Oreochromis niloticus: one gene and its partners. The protein of the gene in region 2 purifies or fractionates together with the protein of the main gene of each other region. This does not show direct contact. Links are inferred from orthologs where the notes say so. Each region holds a gene or a part of one and is shown on either strand. Other genes may lie near its edges.

The links.
Region 1: the proteins of AP-2 complex subunit mu-A (region 2) and numb purify together in Homo sapiens (affinity purification with mass spectrometry; 3 studies listed by BioGRID and IntAct, counting the BioPlex papers as one, with this or other methods). This does not show direct contact. The link is inferred for Oreochromis niloticus from reciprocal best matches to the Homo sapiens genes AP2M1 and NUMB.
Region 3: the proteins of AP-2 complex subunit mu-A (region 2) and necap2 purify together in Homo sapiens (affinity purification with mass spectrometry; 4 studies listed by BioGRID and IntAct, counting the BioPlex papers as one, with this or other methods). This does not show direct contact. The link is inferred for Oreochromis niloticus from reciprocal best matches to the Homo sapiens genes AP2M1 and NECAP2.

Annotation. Positions count from the first base shown.
Region 1 is NC_031983.2:21,450,064-21,455,738, forward strand, and holds the start of numb (protein numb homolog), read left to right. Parts: upstream 1-2,173; 5' UTR 2,174-2,324; intron 2,325-5,675. UniProt on the Homo sapiens protein: Regulates clathrin-mediated receptor endocytosis. Plays a role in the process of neurogenesis.
Region 2 is NC_031982.2:12,069,835-12,075,509, forward strand, and holds the start of AP-2 complex subunit mu-A, read left to right. Parts: upstream 1-2,231; 5' UTR 2,232-2,420; intron 2,421-3,843; 5' UTR 3,844-3,891; coding exon 3,892-3,965; intron 3,966-5,675. Other genes in the region: segment polarity protein dishevelled homolog DVL-3, read left to right, coding at 366-724.
Region 3 is NC_031970.2:21,522,085-21,527,759, forward strand, and holds the start of necap2 (adaptin ear-binding coat-associated protein 2), read left to right. Parts: upstream 1-2,390; 5' UTR 2,391-2,471; coding exon 2,472-2,566; intron 2,567-3,308; coding exon 3,309-3,409; intron 3,410-5,470; coding exon 5,471-5,575; intron 5,576-5,675. UniProt on the Homo sapiens protein: Involved in endocytosis.

The DNA of each region.
Region 1 (5,675 bases), on a different chromosome or scaffold from region 2:
TTAATTGTTATTGCTGAATGGCAGTCTTGAAACCACCATGCGAAGCACTGTCAGGAAGATTATTTATTGTTTTTGCATGGTCAGACCCAAAGAATGTTTTTTTTCCTCTGTCTCTACAAGGTTTTATGTAAATATTTAAGGCAGGTAATGGCTTGTTTTGTGTAAAGTTCTCTATATGTTGTTTGAAAAAATAAAATGTGGTAATGGAGACATTGCTGTTGTAGTCATTTGAATAATAAACTGGATTACTGCACCATCACCGCTGTTTTCATCATTTTATAAAACAGCAAAAATCCTTTTTTGCATTGTACATGTTTGCATCCTAATTCACAATGGATATCCGAATAATTACATGGGGCTTATTGTAGCCATTTCAAACTTCATTTGAAGCCTTGGTGTCTACTAGAGTAGATTTACACGATTCACAGTTAAAAGTAATCATTTATTCTTTTGTGTAGCCAAACAACTGGTTTAGCTTCTCTCGCTTTAAGCCTTCTTTCTCATCATTGGTTGCCCCACTCAAACATAAAGTTTAAACAGTGGTTGTTTGGACTCAGTGCCTAACATAACCATTTTTAGACTATCCCCTGTCCTTGGTATCACAAACACTAAAGTGAGTCTGAAACGGAGTGAGCTTTTGGCTCACAGGCATTACTTTCACATACTCTAACCAGATTATTTGAAATTATCCATTTAAATATACAAAGAAAGCATTGCAGATCCACTTTCAAGTCCATTATATTTGAGACATTTATTTAAAGTATATATATCTTTAATATAAAGCAAAAAAATCAAATGGAGTTCTTCAGATGCTGATAGTTTCTATAGATTATTCTGTTACTTGGGGCCAGTGTGAAATTAGCAGTGTATTCCCTTTAAAAATAAGGGCCATGATTAGCTTCAATGTGTGCATAAATAATCTTTTTAATTAGGCAACGCAGTAAGTGGGAAAACGTGTAGACTCCTGGCTACATGACTGAAACCGTCCACCACTCATTACTCACACACACAAAGTGACCACCAGGGGGCATAATATGCTAACTTTTTTTCATTATAACGTTGGTCTCTTCATAGATGGAACCTCATGGTAAAAATAATAGATATACAAAATTAAAATGAATGTAAAAATAAAATAAAACAAGACTCTCGAAGAGTTAAGATAATTAAGGGGAAAAAATCGAGGCAGTAACAACGTGTTGGAGACTGGGAGGTCACTGCTGGGGCACTGTGAAGATTAATAAAGTTACTGTACAAGGCTGCATAACAGGCTTGACAACTTTGTGAACCAAAGTTTTTTTTTTTTTGTTTGCCTCCTTGTTGGTTTCATAACCTGTGAGGACACAATACAAGTTACACTGCAGCTTACAAGGCTTTAAAGGTATGCGAGGAATGCAACTTAATGCTGATAAACTTCTGGCCTTTTCAAGGGGTCAGTGAAGACAGAGGGAGTGGAGGAAGCCTTTAACTGGATGTATATGAAAAGAAACACGTTTCACTCGTTTAAACGTGCTTCGTTTTTGTTATGTGGTGAGAACGTGATGGCCTACACAGGAAGGATGATTGCGGTGAAACTCGGGATGGCACTGCACTGATGCCCTAATTTTTTTGTCGTTTCAGGAGTGACCTCACTGACAGGGTTATATTTGCATATCACCCAGACAATGAATTTGTAATGAAGGTGCTCGTTAAAAGTGGCGCAACTGAACGTTTGCAGTGGTGCCTTACATAGCCTGCTACATTTGAGAGGAAAATAGCACTAATATATGAAATACAAGAAAACCTAATGAGAACATAGGCATACAATTTGATACCTGCTTATATAGAAATCAGCCCCACTGTCACAAAATACGAAAAGTAAAGTGTTGCTTGCAACTTATTAATTGTAACAATAATCCATCACACACTCTTCAGGTCAGATTATAGTAGTTATATATTTACAGGTGCATCTTAATTGGAGCTAAACCCGATAGACTGAAGCGGTGTCTTACAATGTGCTTTCACGCCTGCTTCTCTTAATGACTACAAGACGAACAGCGTAAAGAGTGAAACTCAGCTTCGATCCAGGTTGCACTATCGAACATCGATCACCTTCGATGTACACGCGCCGGCCAATGGGGTCACGCGGAGGCGGTCCGTTGCTAAGGAGGAAGTTTGATTGAGGCTGTGAGTAGCAGCCATTCAGCGGCGGTGGCTGAAGCGATTGGACTGCGAGCGTCTCTCCCGACACTTTCTGTGGAATTTGAATTATTTTGGCACGGCACGGCTCGTGATACACTGGTGACGGCATACACGGGGCATCTTGAGGGTCGCAGCGGTGATCGCAGGTAGGCTGAAAGTGGGCTGTGTGCACTTTGGTAAGCATGCCCGGTGAAGCTTGTTAGCTCACCGAGCTAAGCAGCACTAGCTTGTGCCTCTCTGATGCGGCACACGGAGCTATGGCAGCTCCCATTAACACGGCATTTAGCTCTCTTGCTAACCTAACAAAATAGATGGTGTTAAGCTGTCTAACATCTTTATCTGCTGTTGGAAAATATCTGCTTCTGTCTTGCCGAATAAGCTAAGGTGTTTAAGAGGTATGGCTAACGTTAGTTAAGTAGCTAACGATTCTCAAGTTACCTGGATAACTTTAGGGGGATGGACGTTATTCAGCAAAATGACCTAAGCTCATCGGATAGCTTGCTCCTAGCACACGGTTTGTCACGACATTCACTTACACCCTATCACACGGTTCGCTTGTGTAATACCATTCTTACAAATGATATTCATCGGTAGCTTGGCAGTTTAGTGACTTGCAAGTTTCTCCCCCCCGCCCCCCTCAAAAAGTGTTAATTCACAATAAAGGTGGGTCTTCTTAACACTCATCCATCCAGACAGGTTGATCACCATGACGATACAGACTGTGACTCAGAGTCTTAGCACTCGGAATGTTCTGAAGTGTGATAATGTGTCTAAGATCGTCTTATATGGCAGGTGGATCTTTTCTTGCAAGAGAGATCAAGAAGTCCGCCATTCATGATCAGATAACCATCAGTGGTCAGATTACCTTCCACGTGGAGACTGTACTAAGATAGCCACATGATAGATTGTGTGATAGCCCCAGCAGCACAACCATACGGTTGAAACATCCTGTTTATTGGACGCTAATTCTATTTGGATTCTGTCATTAGGCATTTTATTATTGGAGCAGCGATGTAATTTGTGACCAGAAATAATACACAGGATGAGTTATTTGTTTTTGTTTGGAAAACACAGACGCAACCCTCTGGGTGATCGAGGAGAGGTGCTGAAATCCACTTATTCTGACTGTAAATATCAGATTATAGTAAAAAAGAAGGAGTTCAAAATATGTCCTGCATTGCTTATTTTATTCTGCTTACAATACTAGCACTCGGTTTCAGAGTGCTCAGAGCAGTGGGGGATGTAGTCAAGTGCTATACAGTTTATGTACTTTTTATTAGGTATTGCTAGTACCAGGTTTGACTCCCCTTTTCATTGAGAACAGAAATTCTTTGTGGCACAGATTCATAGGTTGGTTAGGTTGGACATGTTGAATGTTGTGCTCCTCACCTTTCTTCCCCATTGTGATGCTCAGTTTGAACTTGGTCTTGTCAACCAGCTCTCCCAGTTGCTGCCATGTGATCGGCTGATCATTTGTTTGCATTAACGAGTAGTTGATCAGGTGCACCTACTAAAGTGAGTGAGGAGGACATTAGGAGTGCTCGCACATCAGCTGTTGACTGCTGTCAGGCTATCTGCAGGGAAGATGACATTTACTGATGGCAGGGGATAGTTATCTGTTGTGTCATGTCAGTTTTGCACAGGCTAAATGTTTAATGATGGTGTGTTAAAGACCTGAAAGAAGCAGTAGACTTTCTGTTAGATAAGGGTTAGAAAAAGAATGTTAGGGCAGAAAATAAAAGCAAAACAATCAAAAAAGATCTGCCAAATGTATATTTTTAGCTGTGATTTTGAACTGGATGTATCAATGGATTAATTCCTAGAGAAACAGGGTAGTCTTAAATCTATTTACCATATGTAAAAAATCCTCAAAGAACTATAAAAGCAATACAGGAAAGAGAAGTAGTCATTATTGTTATTCATCCCTAGTGGTAGCACAGTAATGACCAGAGAGATGCAGTTTGTTTTGATGTCAGCTCTTATCCAGGGTTTGTTCTGCATTTACAACATTTTGGCGCCCATCAAAGACAATTTAGCCTTCACTCTAAGGAAAATCACCAGGACTGTGATTTTTGTCAATATTTTTTGCTAGTGGTCTCTAAATTACTCAGCCTTAAAATACACATGCAGACTTCTGTAAGGTGAGGTTATACAGACCCTTTTGTGGTTATGTTTGTAGCAGTCTCCAAAGGCTCATTTTGTGTTCATTTTGTGTTCTTTTTGGGGGACTGCTGCTTTTCCCTAACAGAGAGAGATGAGATTCTTTTTCCTCCAAATTTTGAAAGGGATGGCTTAGCTCATCTCACAGGATGAGGGAGGCAAGATTGGCTACCAGCCACCGAACCTACTGTGTAAGTCTGTCAGCTGTTTGGGAGAGGAGGAGAATGCAGGAGCAAGTCTCCGTCCTGAGCTCTGTGATTCACTCTGTGGGAGAATCTAGCTTTAACTCTCAGCATTTTGCTCTCTTCTCAAAGGCGGGGCCTACACTTGGCAGTGAGTTGTACATGTGAATACTGAGTAGTGATGCAACTGCAGGTAGATAAAGTTGCCGTATGATGACGATGCAGTCTAAAGCTTTACCCTGATAGGATGCTGATAGGAGAGTGATAGCTGAGCCTCTTGCTGCTCATGGTGAAATTAGAGTGAATGTCACTGTCAGCTTAGCATTCAGTCCAGCGTTACCTTGATCATTAAGAGATGACTGATATGGCAGATATGTTTTTTGTTTTCATGTTATCGTCAAACAGTCTGGATCAGGGTGATGTGTATGTGTCATCTGAGCCCGTTTCAGTGTTGTTATCCATATCCTGTGCTTTTTGTCAACACCAGTTCTTGGTGGAAGTGATGCAGCCATTAAATGAAATGCTCAGATGTTTACTTATTAAACCTGACTTGCGTGGGAATGCGAGAAAAAGGGTTTGTAAACTCATCTTCACCGAGATGCCTGCAAACCCGATTCTCTTCCAAGTGATTTTTCGTCAGGCGTGACAATGTTATCCAAACGCGTGGGTCTTTTGATGATGTAGATGTGCGAGATTATGACACGACAATGCGGACAATGCTGTCATTAACATCAAACGCTAAAGCGGAATGTGTTTTGGCGCCCTCCTGTTTTACAAGTACCAAAATGCTGCTCCCTAAGAATGCTGCTTGCAGTCTGTAAGTTTTTATTTATAAACTCTAATTGGACAGTGTGACACAAGATGAATACAATGCACCAAATTAAACTCTTCTGCTTTGAATAAGCATAGAGAAACTGACGTATATAATAAATGCCACAAAAAGGAAGCATTGTAAAAAGGACCATTGTATTTTAATGGTCCCCCTCACAAAAGAAAGAGGTCAACATCCAGGTGCATGTGGGATTCGATGCCTTTGAATCGATAGTGTCTACACTTGCTAGCTTCATATTCTCTGCTGGATTAGATCCAGCAAAGACACTCTGAGAGGATTCAACCAGAGGAGAGGTTTTAGAAGCAGGATCTCAAATGTGCCGC
Region 2 (5,675 bases):
TGGATTTGATGACATGCATTGGACCAAAGCATCCTCCACAACAAGTTTCTTTTTAATCAGATAAGCTGTTTTGGTTTAAATTAATCACTCTCAGGAACTTGCCCTAAAATTAAGGAGTCTGAGTTGGATAATAAAATGAAGACCTGTGACTGCCTTCAGGAATAGCTAAGCTGTTTGGCCTGAATGCTCCGAGACTATGTCAGCATTAGTCATGCAGCTCTCCTCCAGAGTCTCCTGCAAACTGGGTCAGCGCTGCCTTCGTCATGTCATTGGCACCCAATTAGAAAAAGATGTGATTTTTATTTTTATTTTTTAAACATGCATCTCGCTTGCATAATAATTTTGCTCTTTTTTTCTGTTCACAGGGAGCAGCGGTTCTAACTGTAGCAAGAATGAGGGCCGAAAATCCGGCGGCAGTGGCAGCGAATCAGAGATCAGGAGCCACCGGGCGCCAAGTGAGCGCTCAGTGGCTCCCCCTAGTGAACGAAGCGTCCGCAGCTCTGTGAGCCACCGCAGTGCCAACTCCCACTCTATAGCTTATGGGCCTGGTCTTGTGTACGGCCCCCCTGGCCTACCCCCTCAGCCACCACACCTTTCTACAGCTGCACCTGGTGCCCCACCTGGCAGAGAGCTTGCCTCGGTGCCCCCTGAGCTCACTGCGTCACGGCAGTCTCTGCGCATGGCGGTGGGCAACGCTGGAGAATTTTTTGTCGATGTGATGTGACACCGGTTATAAAGACCTAAAGGCAGAAATGGAACCACCCTGTTGTGTACGCTGAGAGAAAATGCTCCTCCTCTCTTGTACTTTTTCTTAGTAGTTGTAGTGGCCATACTTTCTTCAGTGAAGAAACACCCCCCACCCTGCTCCAGATGGAACCAAAGCGCCTTTCTCAGTTTCCGCTCCACGGTGGGGAAGAGTTTTAGCGAGGACAAAGAGCAGGAGAAGGGAGGGAGGCAGTGGAAATGGTCAGCTGGGGTAGATGACTCAGTGCTTTTCCACATGGATGTTTTTCATTTGTTCTTCTTTTCACTCTTCCCTCCCCTCCTCTGGGTTCCTTATCTAACGTTCTCTGTCCTCCCCCACCCCTGTCCACGTCCAAACCGAGAGAGACTGAAGCCTCTTCCCTCCTCCTGTTCTTTTTTCCCCCCACTTGCTGACCTCTAACAAGAAAAAAAGAATGACTGAAAGAAGCTGAAATGAACACTAACTGTTAATCTTATTCAGACTTTTAAAGTATTTGCTTGACTTAAGAGAGAAAGAAAGAAAGAAATGTATGTAGTGCAAGAGAATTACAGTCCATACTTTGAGAATGCATTTGTTTTATTATATGTGTAGCTGGTCACAACTAGTTTCTTTTTCTTTTTAATGCTTAACATGAGCATTCAGTTTCCAGAGTCGTTTTTATACGGCACAACTACATTTTCGTCTGCTAACCAGCGAATCTTCAGACTGTCTTGTGATAATGTATAGTGGAAAAAAAATTTCTTACCATGACTTTCACACTACTCTTTTATCAAGGAAAATGTCTTTTTATTTATAAATATAGTTTTATGACTTAAATCTGCTGCTTTCTGTTTTGTGTGCTTGTGTATACCTTTCTGCAAAACCAAAAACTGAAACCTAGTGAGTTTTTTCTTTTTGCCTTTATGGTACCTGAGGTTATATTTGCATTTAAAAGCAGTGGACTGCAAACCGTCCAGGCGCAGGAATGTGAAGGTTAGGCAGTCTGCTGTACAGATGTGTGTGTGAGAATGAGTGAGAGAGAGTGGGGGAGCGCTGTGGGAGTGTGCAAACGTTCAGCCTGTGTACATTTGGACTTGCCCCAGACTGAACAACTCTATGCAAAATGTTCCCTGTGGTTTGAGGCGGAAACTCCTGTTGAGAGGCGATTCGGTTCAGTTTGGAAAATAAAATTGAAGTTGACTCTGCAGGACAGGGTAAAACAAGACCACCCATACTACCACCATGGAAAAAATAAACAAAATGCAATAGTGTTTTTTTTTTTCTTCTTCTTAAACTTCTTGGAGCCAATGAGAAATTGTCGATATTTAACAAGTACATATACATGTCAGCGCAATTCAAATCTATTGTATAAGGGATTCTAGCCCACTTTCCAGCTATTAAACATAACCATTACCTTCCGTAAAACGTGAAACGATAACTGGCCAGTAACCCATGTCGCTTATCGTATCGAGGCCTGGGTGCGGTTTACACATCTTTCCAGCCGCGCCTTTTCCTGTCACGGCGGAACGGCTGTGCGTAAGGACGGCGGGTCAGCTGACAGCTATCAGAGGACCAGGAGGAAGGAGCGGAATTAGCGGGCGTGTGAACTGGGAACCTACTGGATCCTGACATAAGCTATCCGAGGCCGAACGGGGAGGCAAAAGACTGGTGGCGTTCTTGAGAGAACTAGGGTAAGGTAAAAGACTGCAGTTTTTTCGTTAATTAGGGTAACTGTAGTCCGGAAACCACTACGGAAAGCCGGTGAAACGGTTTCATTTGTGAGTGATGCTAACGTAGCAACATTAGCCGCCGCGGCGCTAGCTAACGTCAATCCATTAGCAGTACCTAGCCTGATAACGGAAAGGACTCGTTTTTTCCTTCAAATTAAAAGCAAGGAAGGGCGCCCTTGTAAATATCTCTTATTACGTTATATATTACCCAACACTGTTGAATAACCCGTGCTGTATTTTTACGTGGCTAACTCGTCTGTTGTCGATGATAGTTAATGGTTCTCTTTAAGGTCTCGTCAAATTGACTGGTTTTCTTTTGACCGGAAGTCCATTTAAAATTCTGCACGGCTCGACTCCGGTTCGCTGAATATCACCGCCAGCTAGCCCGCTATCGTGAGCTAAATTAGCTAGCTTATATCTCACTCGGTGTATTCTCCATCACTTCGATCTTAGTTGAAGGTCAAGCCTCTAACCACAGTCAAGCCACTTAATAATATTTAAGACAAAAAAAATGGTAGCTAACCTGCCGCGCGGTGGTCGAGGGAAAAAAATGAAAAATATGAAAAATGTATGAACGTTAGGAAATGGCCCGAGTGAGCAGACATCTTGACTTCGCCGATAAATGGGCGATTAAAGCACTCGGCTTCTGTGCGAGGTTTATTCTGTCACGACTCGGCGGTGCTTTAACGAGGAGATATTTTCTCACTTGCGGGCTTATATCTGTGCGGTGGTTTTCCTCTGAATGCTGTTGTGTGTGTAAATGGTCTGGATTCTATCTTCGAGGAATGTCAGGCATGTCCTTCATCCTCTGTTTTCCAGAATCTTCATTCTTTAAGGAGGGCACCTTTCTGCAAGAATTAATCACCAAACGACAAAAAATGTCTTTAGAATATTTTTGATGATATTTTTTTATTTTAGAATATAACCCGATTCGGACAACACATGCCAGTAAGACGACACTTTAGTTAGGCCATCAGATTTTTAGCTGGCTGTCTGGTGGCATCCGGCGTCAGATTGGTAGCTGCTAATCTCTCGTCAATAATCTTATTTACTTTAGAAGAAAACAGGGAACTGTCTGTGGTGAGAGTAGTTGCAGTGGTTTTTAGCCTGTACGGAGTAAATAATGTATGTATGTGTGCGTGTCTTACAGAAAAATGAGTCACCACAGTAGTGCAGCTGCAGGATGTATCCATCTGGCTTTAGTGTGTGTGTGTGTGTGTGTGTGTGTGTGTGTGAGAGAGTGAGAAGGACGGAAAAAGCGGATGTGAGGGACAAATGCCTCTCTGTACTATTGCTTACTCCCTCACTTTTTTTGCTGCTTTCACTTCTCTACTTCTCTTCCTCCTTTTCCTTCCCACATATCCTGTCTTCATTTCTGTCTTTTCTCAGGAGGGCTTTGGTTTCACCATGGCAGGTTGGGATTGAAGAGCAGCCACAATGATTGGAGGACTGTTCATCTACAACCACAAGGGGGAGGTCCTCATCTCCCGAGTTTACCGAGATGACATAGGGTATGTTCAGTTGGGAGAAACCCCGCTCTAATGTTCCCAGATTTTGAGAAACTCCAGATCACTGAGAAGGTCCTGATGCAGTGTGGGTGGAGAGGCTGCAGTTGATCCAGGATGAGAGAGGATTATGTCTCTTCTTGGCTAAGTTCACACGTGTCTTTCCTGTTGTTGACCAAATACAAACCTGCAACGGGATTAAATTTAGAGTAGTGTTACTGCCTCTGTGTAGTACAATTTTTAAAATAATCAAATGTGTACAAAAATATTTATTATGGACTTGGTTTATAAGTGACTAAATACAGAAAGGAACAATTGAGGGGGAAAAAGTTATTCTTTTTCCATATTGTCTGAGGTAATGATTTGGTTCACTCAAGCTTATCCAACCACACCTTGTGTTTAAAAGATTAAGTGCATCTGAGTGAAAAGCTCTTCCAAATTGATTCAATGTTGACTCTTCCTTGAAGACACAAGTTATTAATTCTTACCATATGGCAGAAAGGCACAGAGAGGAAGCCTTCTTTTCCCTCCCCATAAAGATTGCTTAATATCCTGTAGACATTCATTTACTAGTCAGTGATAACATATTTTAACTTTAAAGTCTTCAGTCAAACAGAAGGTTACTCACTGGTGTCAGGAAATGTCTTAAACCAAATGCATAATATCTGATGTATGCTGAACTGAAATGTTCACTGCTTATAACAATACATAAGGTCAGTTAAATCTCGCATGTGTTTGGAAAACAAAAGCCATGAAGGAGTTCGTGCTGTAGATTCCTTAACATTAATTAATTAATCCTAACACGGAGTCCCAATTTGAAATGTATTTTGCAAATTTTGTGGAAATCTGTTATACAGACATAAAGTGTGACTCTAGGCATATCAGATCAGATCTGTTACTGCTGCACAGCTCATTTGTGAGTTCATGTTCTCCTTCCTCAAACTTACTTTCTGTGATTTTACAGAGAGTAAGTTTGATTCTCACGTTTGGAGTGGAAGATATACACCAGCTTTTTTTTCTTTTTAAATGTTTTTTGTATGAGAAAGTCTTTACAAAGCAACTTTTATGTTATTGGAAGACCATAACTTATCCTAACACAGCAGTTTTAAGCCAGTTTTGAAGAGAAACCTTTGACAGTATACACACCACGTTGTAATAATGTCCATGAAGGTGTCAGGTTGCCTACGTGGTTTCAGATGTGCCATGTAAGGGCTCCGCTTGGTGGCCAGAAGATTTGGCCACATCCCCTTTTTCTTCTTCTTCTTCTTCTTCTCCATTTAAACACCCCAGATAATACTTGTAAAATTATGTCAGGCAGGAACAGTTGCCTCATCTCATATTTGTAACACAACAGGAGATGGTCTGCTTAAAATGTATTTTCACTGTCCTACTCTGTTTGGTTTCGGTAGCAATGCCTGGGTGATGCTCTTCATCCATCAGGCAGCATGCGGCACTTCGCTGGACAAATACACGCTCAGTTCTCACACCGGGCCACCTGGCATGACATATATTTTGTACTAGGGACTGTTTAATGTCTGGTGTGACTTGGCGAGTGCTTGTAGTATCATATTTAGCTCTACAGAGTTACACTGAGAAAGAGTCACCAATGTAAATAGCTAAATTTGCCTATTAAATTCTGTGTATTCACATTCATTGACTGTTCTGAAGTCCAAGTAGGCTCTTTTCCAGAACTGAGAGACCAGGCCATTGTAGATT
Region 3 (5,675 bases), on a different chromosome or scaffold from region 2:
GGTGCCCTATGATTTTAGGTCTGATTGGCCGGCCGAGTGCCAGGACATCAGGTGTCTGTCTCTTCAGGGAGAATACGGAGAGCTTGCAGATTTGTGGGACCTCCCCAGAAAAGGCAAGCACACGAGGTGGCCTTTCCACTGATGAAGCGTGGGTCATGGCTGGGTATCCACCGGGGTACTGGCCTTAATTTGTCGGGTTCAGTTGGAATGAAATGCTTGATGGTGCCATAAATCTATTGCGTGTTCAGCAGCTTGAGTGAGCAGCGATAAAAAATTGTACTGATGGAGCCTTTTGGTGCCTAGCAGTGTGCTTTTAATACTGTAGTCGATGGCAGTGGCTCAGGCCACAAGTGTCCACAATCCTCTGTAAGGCACGAGTGGCCCTTAAAGAAATGCCCGGTGGGCACACAGCCTGTGGCCAAAAAGAATAGAGCTGAAGGACAGTATCACTAAATCTAAGCTTATCTAAGCAATAATGATGAAATTACTCCCTTTTTTTTTCTTTCTCTTTTAAAATGTTGCCCATTTTCTGTGCTGTTTCTTTTTGTTCACATTTGGTTTTAAACAGTTCATATTGTTCATGTGTTTCATTTCTGACACATAGTACGTTTAAGTCAGGTGATCTGTAGTGTGTAAGAGCCTAGAAGATGTAGTCTGCATAGTCGTGTCATATTCAGTTGTATCTAATTGGCAGAAGTCATGAACTGAAAGTTTAAAGTGTGTAGAGAAAAAAAAAAGTTCCTTTGCTGTTTCAGAGCAGCTCAGCTCTGGAGTTGATGATGGATGATGATTTTGGTGGGTTTTCATACCAGCTGCAGTTTGCTGATTTATTACCTACGGTTAAGAGTTGTGTTAATTATTCTGAAATAATTATTTCAAGCCCAGCCTAGATTGGGATATCATCTAAAGCTTTGTGTTGGCAAATATTGTTGCAGGGCCAGGAAACCTGAAAGAAAATGGTGTTCTTTACCCAATATCATCTTACAATGTGGTCTGCTTGTTTGGGACCAATTTAAAATAAGAGTTTGCCTGCAATAACATGATAGTATAGGCAAATCCTGATGAATAACCAGTGCTGACACTTGTAGTAAACAGTACATGAGCCTGCGGCAGGTTTTCAACCTTTCCACGCTGTTATGCCTTAAAAGATAAACAATCCTTGGTCTCCATCACACGCTCTCCAGCGGGTAGTGCTCATACATATTTGGAGCTTTCTGTGAAAGGTTATTTATGTCACAAGTAAACTGTAGCACAGCACAGGAGCACATTTATCAACTTGGCTGGAAGTGTTGCATTTGTGCCACTTATTCCTGCTTCAAAAAGTAGAAGTTTTTGTTTTAGGAGATTATCTACAATGAAAAGGAGGACGTTTGGACCTACAACATCTAGATGACGTGCTACTAATACAGCGTTCCCAGGGATCCTATTCAATTATTGTAACAAGATGTGTTTCTAATCAGTTTAAATTGAAAAGGAGAAATAGTCATCCTGTACCTGTGTGACCTACCCATGATGCTTTGCTGAAGTCATTCATAGCCACCTGTCTAGTGTGAAGCTCATTTTATGTCATCATTGTTTTGAAGCTTTAGGGGGAAAAAAAGCTCATTAAATTTGAATACCCTTTAATAAACACACTCAGCGGTACAACTTGCTTCATGTGTTGTTATTTTAGATTACGCAGTAGTCTTGCATATGCTGCTCAGAATAATTAAGGGGGCACTGGATCAGCACAGTCTAAGATGGACTTCAGGGACATCAGTCTGCGTGTGAGGAGGCATCAACAATCCATGATCAGATCCATGATCTGTTTATAACTATCCACTGCATCCTGTGAGCTTTAGGCAACAAACATGTGACTTTTTCTGCTCTAGCCTTTCACCCTCAATGGAAAAACAACCCACATGAAAATAATTTGCTACTATGACTGTCCCCATGGTGACAAATGAATCTAATCTAATATTAGAGGGAATGTAGGAAACTTTGCTTAACACTTCAAAGATTGGGTCACCAGTTTGTCTTCAAACAATCACTGAAAAAAGTTTAGTTTGCTGTAATATTTCCCATTTGTACTGGGCATGAAGAGATGAAAGTGATTTTTAGGACAAACCTCACATAATGCATATTTTGTGTTATTTAGTACTGTGTAGTAATGTATCAGGAAGGAAATACATGAATTCACTGGCTTCTAGAAAGGACAGAAATACGATTTGTATCATTTTTTTATAAGAAGAGAATAATTTCAGTGTTCTTATGGAAAACTTCCTGTTCTTTCTCTATTTATATACATTATACTGTAGGCTATTGTAAGTTCTCATTGACAGACTGTGACGTACTCTTTAGGCGCTTATACATCCTGGCCAGAGGTGGCGCTGTTAGGGTCCGGTCAGCCTGGTTCAGCAGGACAGAGCCGAACAGGCGAAGGGTCCATTGAAAGTCGGAAGTTGGTTTTTGGGTTAGTGAAACTTGACAAGATGGCAGAAGACAACAGCTACGAGTCAATGCTCTGTGTAAAGCCAGAGGTCCATGTTTACCGGATCCCGCCGCGGGCCTCTAACCGCGGATATCGGTAGGTGCTAATGTTTTTAGCTGACGAGAGCAGCCAGACGTTTGATAGCGGGCTAATTTTGCAGAGATGCGCCAATTATCGGACAGCAAGTTTTTCAGGATAGTTTGTTAGGTTTTTTGTCATTCGATTACTGGTTTTACGGGTAGCCAATATTTTTTTTAAATAAATGTCATTGTGGCCAATATTTTGATAATTAGATGGACATTTCCGAGACAAATGAGTGTCGGCAAGTAAACTGGTGAACTGAGCTATTTCGAAACAGCACTTCGCAGCTGTATCAGCTCACGGAAATGGGACATCAACATCCTGTCGTCTTACCTGTGACTTGCACCTGTTGGCATTTAAAAGCTTACTTCACACGTCGCTGACACGCAGATGAAACGCTGTAGCTTAAGTCTGATTGGCCGGCCAAAGTATTGATTTTAAGTATCTGTCCAATAATAGATAGTTTGAAATGTGTCGTTTGTTTTAGTGGAGTCACGTCTTTGCTCCTAAACAATTTGTTGAAAACATCTTCTTACAGTTTAAATGCTGTAGACATAACAGTTAACAACTACATTTTAATGGCTTTAACATCTTTAAGAATAGATAGAGCTCGTCATGTCTCATTTTAGTCTGAGTCGAAGCTTTCATTTCCCTTCCTCCTCCATCAAAAGTAGCAGCTGGCAGTGACTGGGTCAGCTGTTTTCATAGAGGATTACACCACTTTCACAAGTAGATATGTGTTTCCTGTTTTTTATAGTGCTGCAGACTGGAAGCTGGATGAACCTGCGTGGAGTGGAAGGATGAAAATAACTGCCAAAGGAAAGATGGCCTACATTAAGTTGGAGGATAAAAATACAGGTGGGCAGAAAAAGCACTGCTTTAATTAGTGAAGTTACAAAGAAGACTAAGAAGAAGAAACAAAAATGGTAGTAAACCCAAAACTAGATTGTAGTAACTAGTTAACAGTTAGGTTTGTGTCTTCGTAGTTGTGTCTTACAATCCGTTGACGGTTTAAATATGTGGTTCAAAACCAGTATTTAAAGTGGGATTTGGCAAAGAGGATCTGGTAAAGTGTAACAGCATGATTCACTTAGAAAGGAGTCACATAGTCACTATAGTTTTCTATGCTGAGGTCCTGTAGGTTGTTTTCATTGCGAACAGGCTGTGATTAGCTGACCTGTCCTGCTTTGGCTCTGACGTCTTCTGCTCTTAGTGGATTTAGCCAACTGCATTTGACGATATACACTTGTGGTCACAAGTTCACGTACATCATGAGTGTTAATGTCATGATAATCTGGGACATTTAATGATTTCTTTGAACTGTTCTTGTTCCAGGGTGGAATGGTCACACAGTATACATCCTTAATTACTTTAAAAAACAACATTTGGATGCGCAAGCTTGAATATAATTAGAATTCTTTTAAATATGTACATGCACCCCTACTAATATTTGGTTAAATGTCTCTTAGCAAGTTGCACCTCGACCAGATGCTTTTGGTAGTCATCAACAAGCTCCTGGTATAATTCTGGTTGAACACTTACTTGGCAGAATTGGTGGAGTTCATTTAAGTCTAGTCCACAACATTTCAATAGGCTTGGCCTTGGGGCTTTGGGAAAATCATTCCAGAAGCTTAATGTTAGCCTGCTTTACCAATTCCAAAACCAGTTTTGATGTGTGTTTGGGAACATTGTCCTGTTGGAACACCCAACTATGTTCAAGTTTCGACCCTCCGGAAAGAAGGGTGGAAACTTGATCTGATCTGAAGTGATCCGAGATGAAGTTGAAGCATTTGGAGGTAGTCCTCTGTCTTCATTATTCCATCCACTTTGTGCAATGTACTGGTATCACTGGCAGAAGAACAGCTCCCGAAGATGATGCTACAACCACAGTGTTTGACAGCTGGTATAATGTTCTCAGTTTAAAAGTCTCAGCTTTACTCCTCTAAACTCTTGTCATTGTGACCAAACAGCTCAGTCTTTATCTCATCTGACCCCAAAACTTTTCTCCAGAAGGTATTTTACTTGTCCATGTGAGGAATTGCAAATTTCAGTCAAGTTTGAAAGTGCTGATTTTGGAGCAGGTGCTTCTTTCTTGGTCGGCGCCCTCTCCGTGGTGATGTAAAAGTGGTTTCACTATGGACAGCGATGCTGGTGTTCCAGCAGATGTCAATTCATGGCACGCTTGAATATTGGGGCTTTCTGGGTTTTTCCTGAACATCCTCACCAATTTCCTCTCATCTGAGGGTGAAAGGTTCGTTCTTCTTTCAGTCCTTGGAAAAAGAAGTGGTGACACATCCAAAAAAATTATTCAATTGCACTTGTTTAGTAGAGACCTTCCTAATGTGTGTAAATTTAGAATCCTCACATCTTTGCTGAGTTCTTTGGACTTTCCCATTATTCTGAGTATTGGTCAATACAATGAGTCTATAAAGGTCTATGTTGTACAATCATTACCCCCTGGAAATGGAACAAGTCAAATAAACCATTAAAAGCCATAATTACTGTGACGTTCATGGCCACAATGAATGTGTGTGCAACCTTCTGACCATAGCTGTGTGAACAGATGTTACTGACTATCACGGTTGCTTTGCGACCTGTAGCCAATGAGTGTCAAAAATGCAAAGAAGTAGGTCCTGTTATTCAGAACTAGCTTGTGTCTTTGAACTATTTTACTTACATTAACAGAAAAAATAGTTTAAAGGGTTTTTTGGAATACATTAAAACATTTTGCAGTTTCAGTGATTGTTACCAGGTCAACCTTTTACATTACAGCATGACATATTGTTACAGGGTTATCAAAGCTCCTTTTCAGAAACCTTGCTGTCTTCTTTTGTCTTATTCAGTCATCTCAACTTGACACCTTGTTGGTAACAGAAAAAAACCCTGGGGCTTTGTTTGGTGTAAATTTGCTCTTTGCAGGAGAGCTGTTTGCACAAGCTCCAGTCGAACAGTATCCAGGTTGTGTCGTGGAAGCAGTAACAGACTCCAGCAGGTATTTTGTGATCCGGATAGAGGATGGCAACGGTAAGACAAAGTATTTGGAACGGCTTCTTTTGTTTCATTAAGGGCATGCTCCACATTTTGTTGAGCTTGACTTAATCTCAGTATTTGTTTTGTACAACTT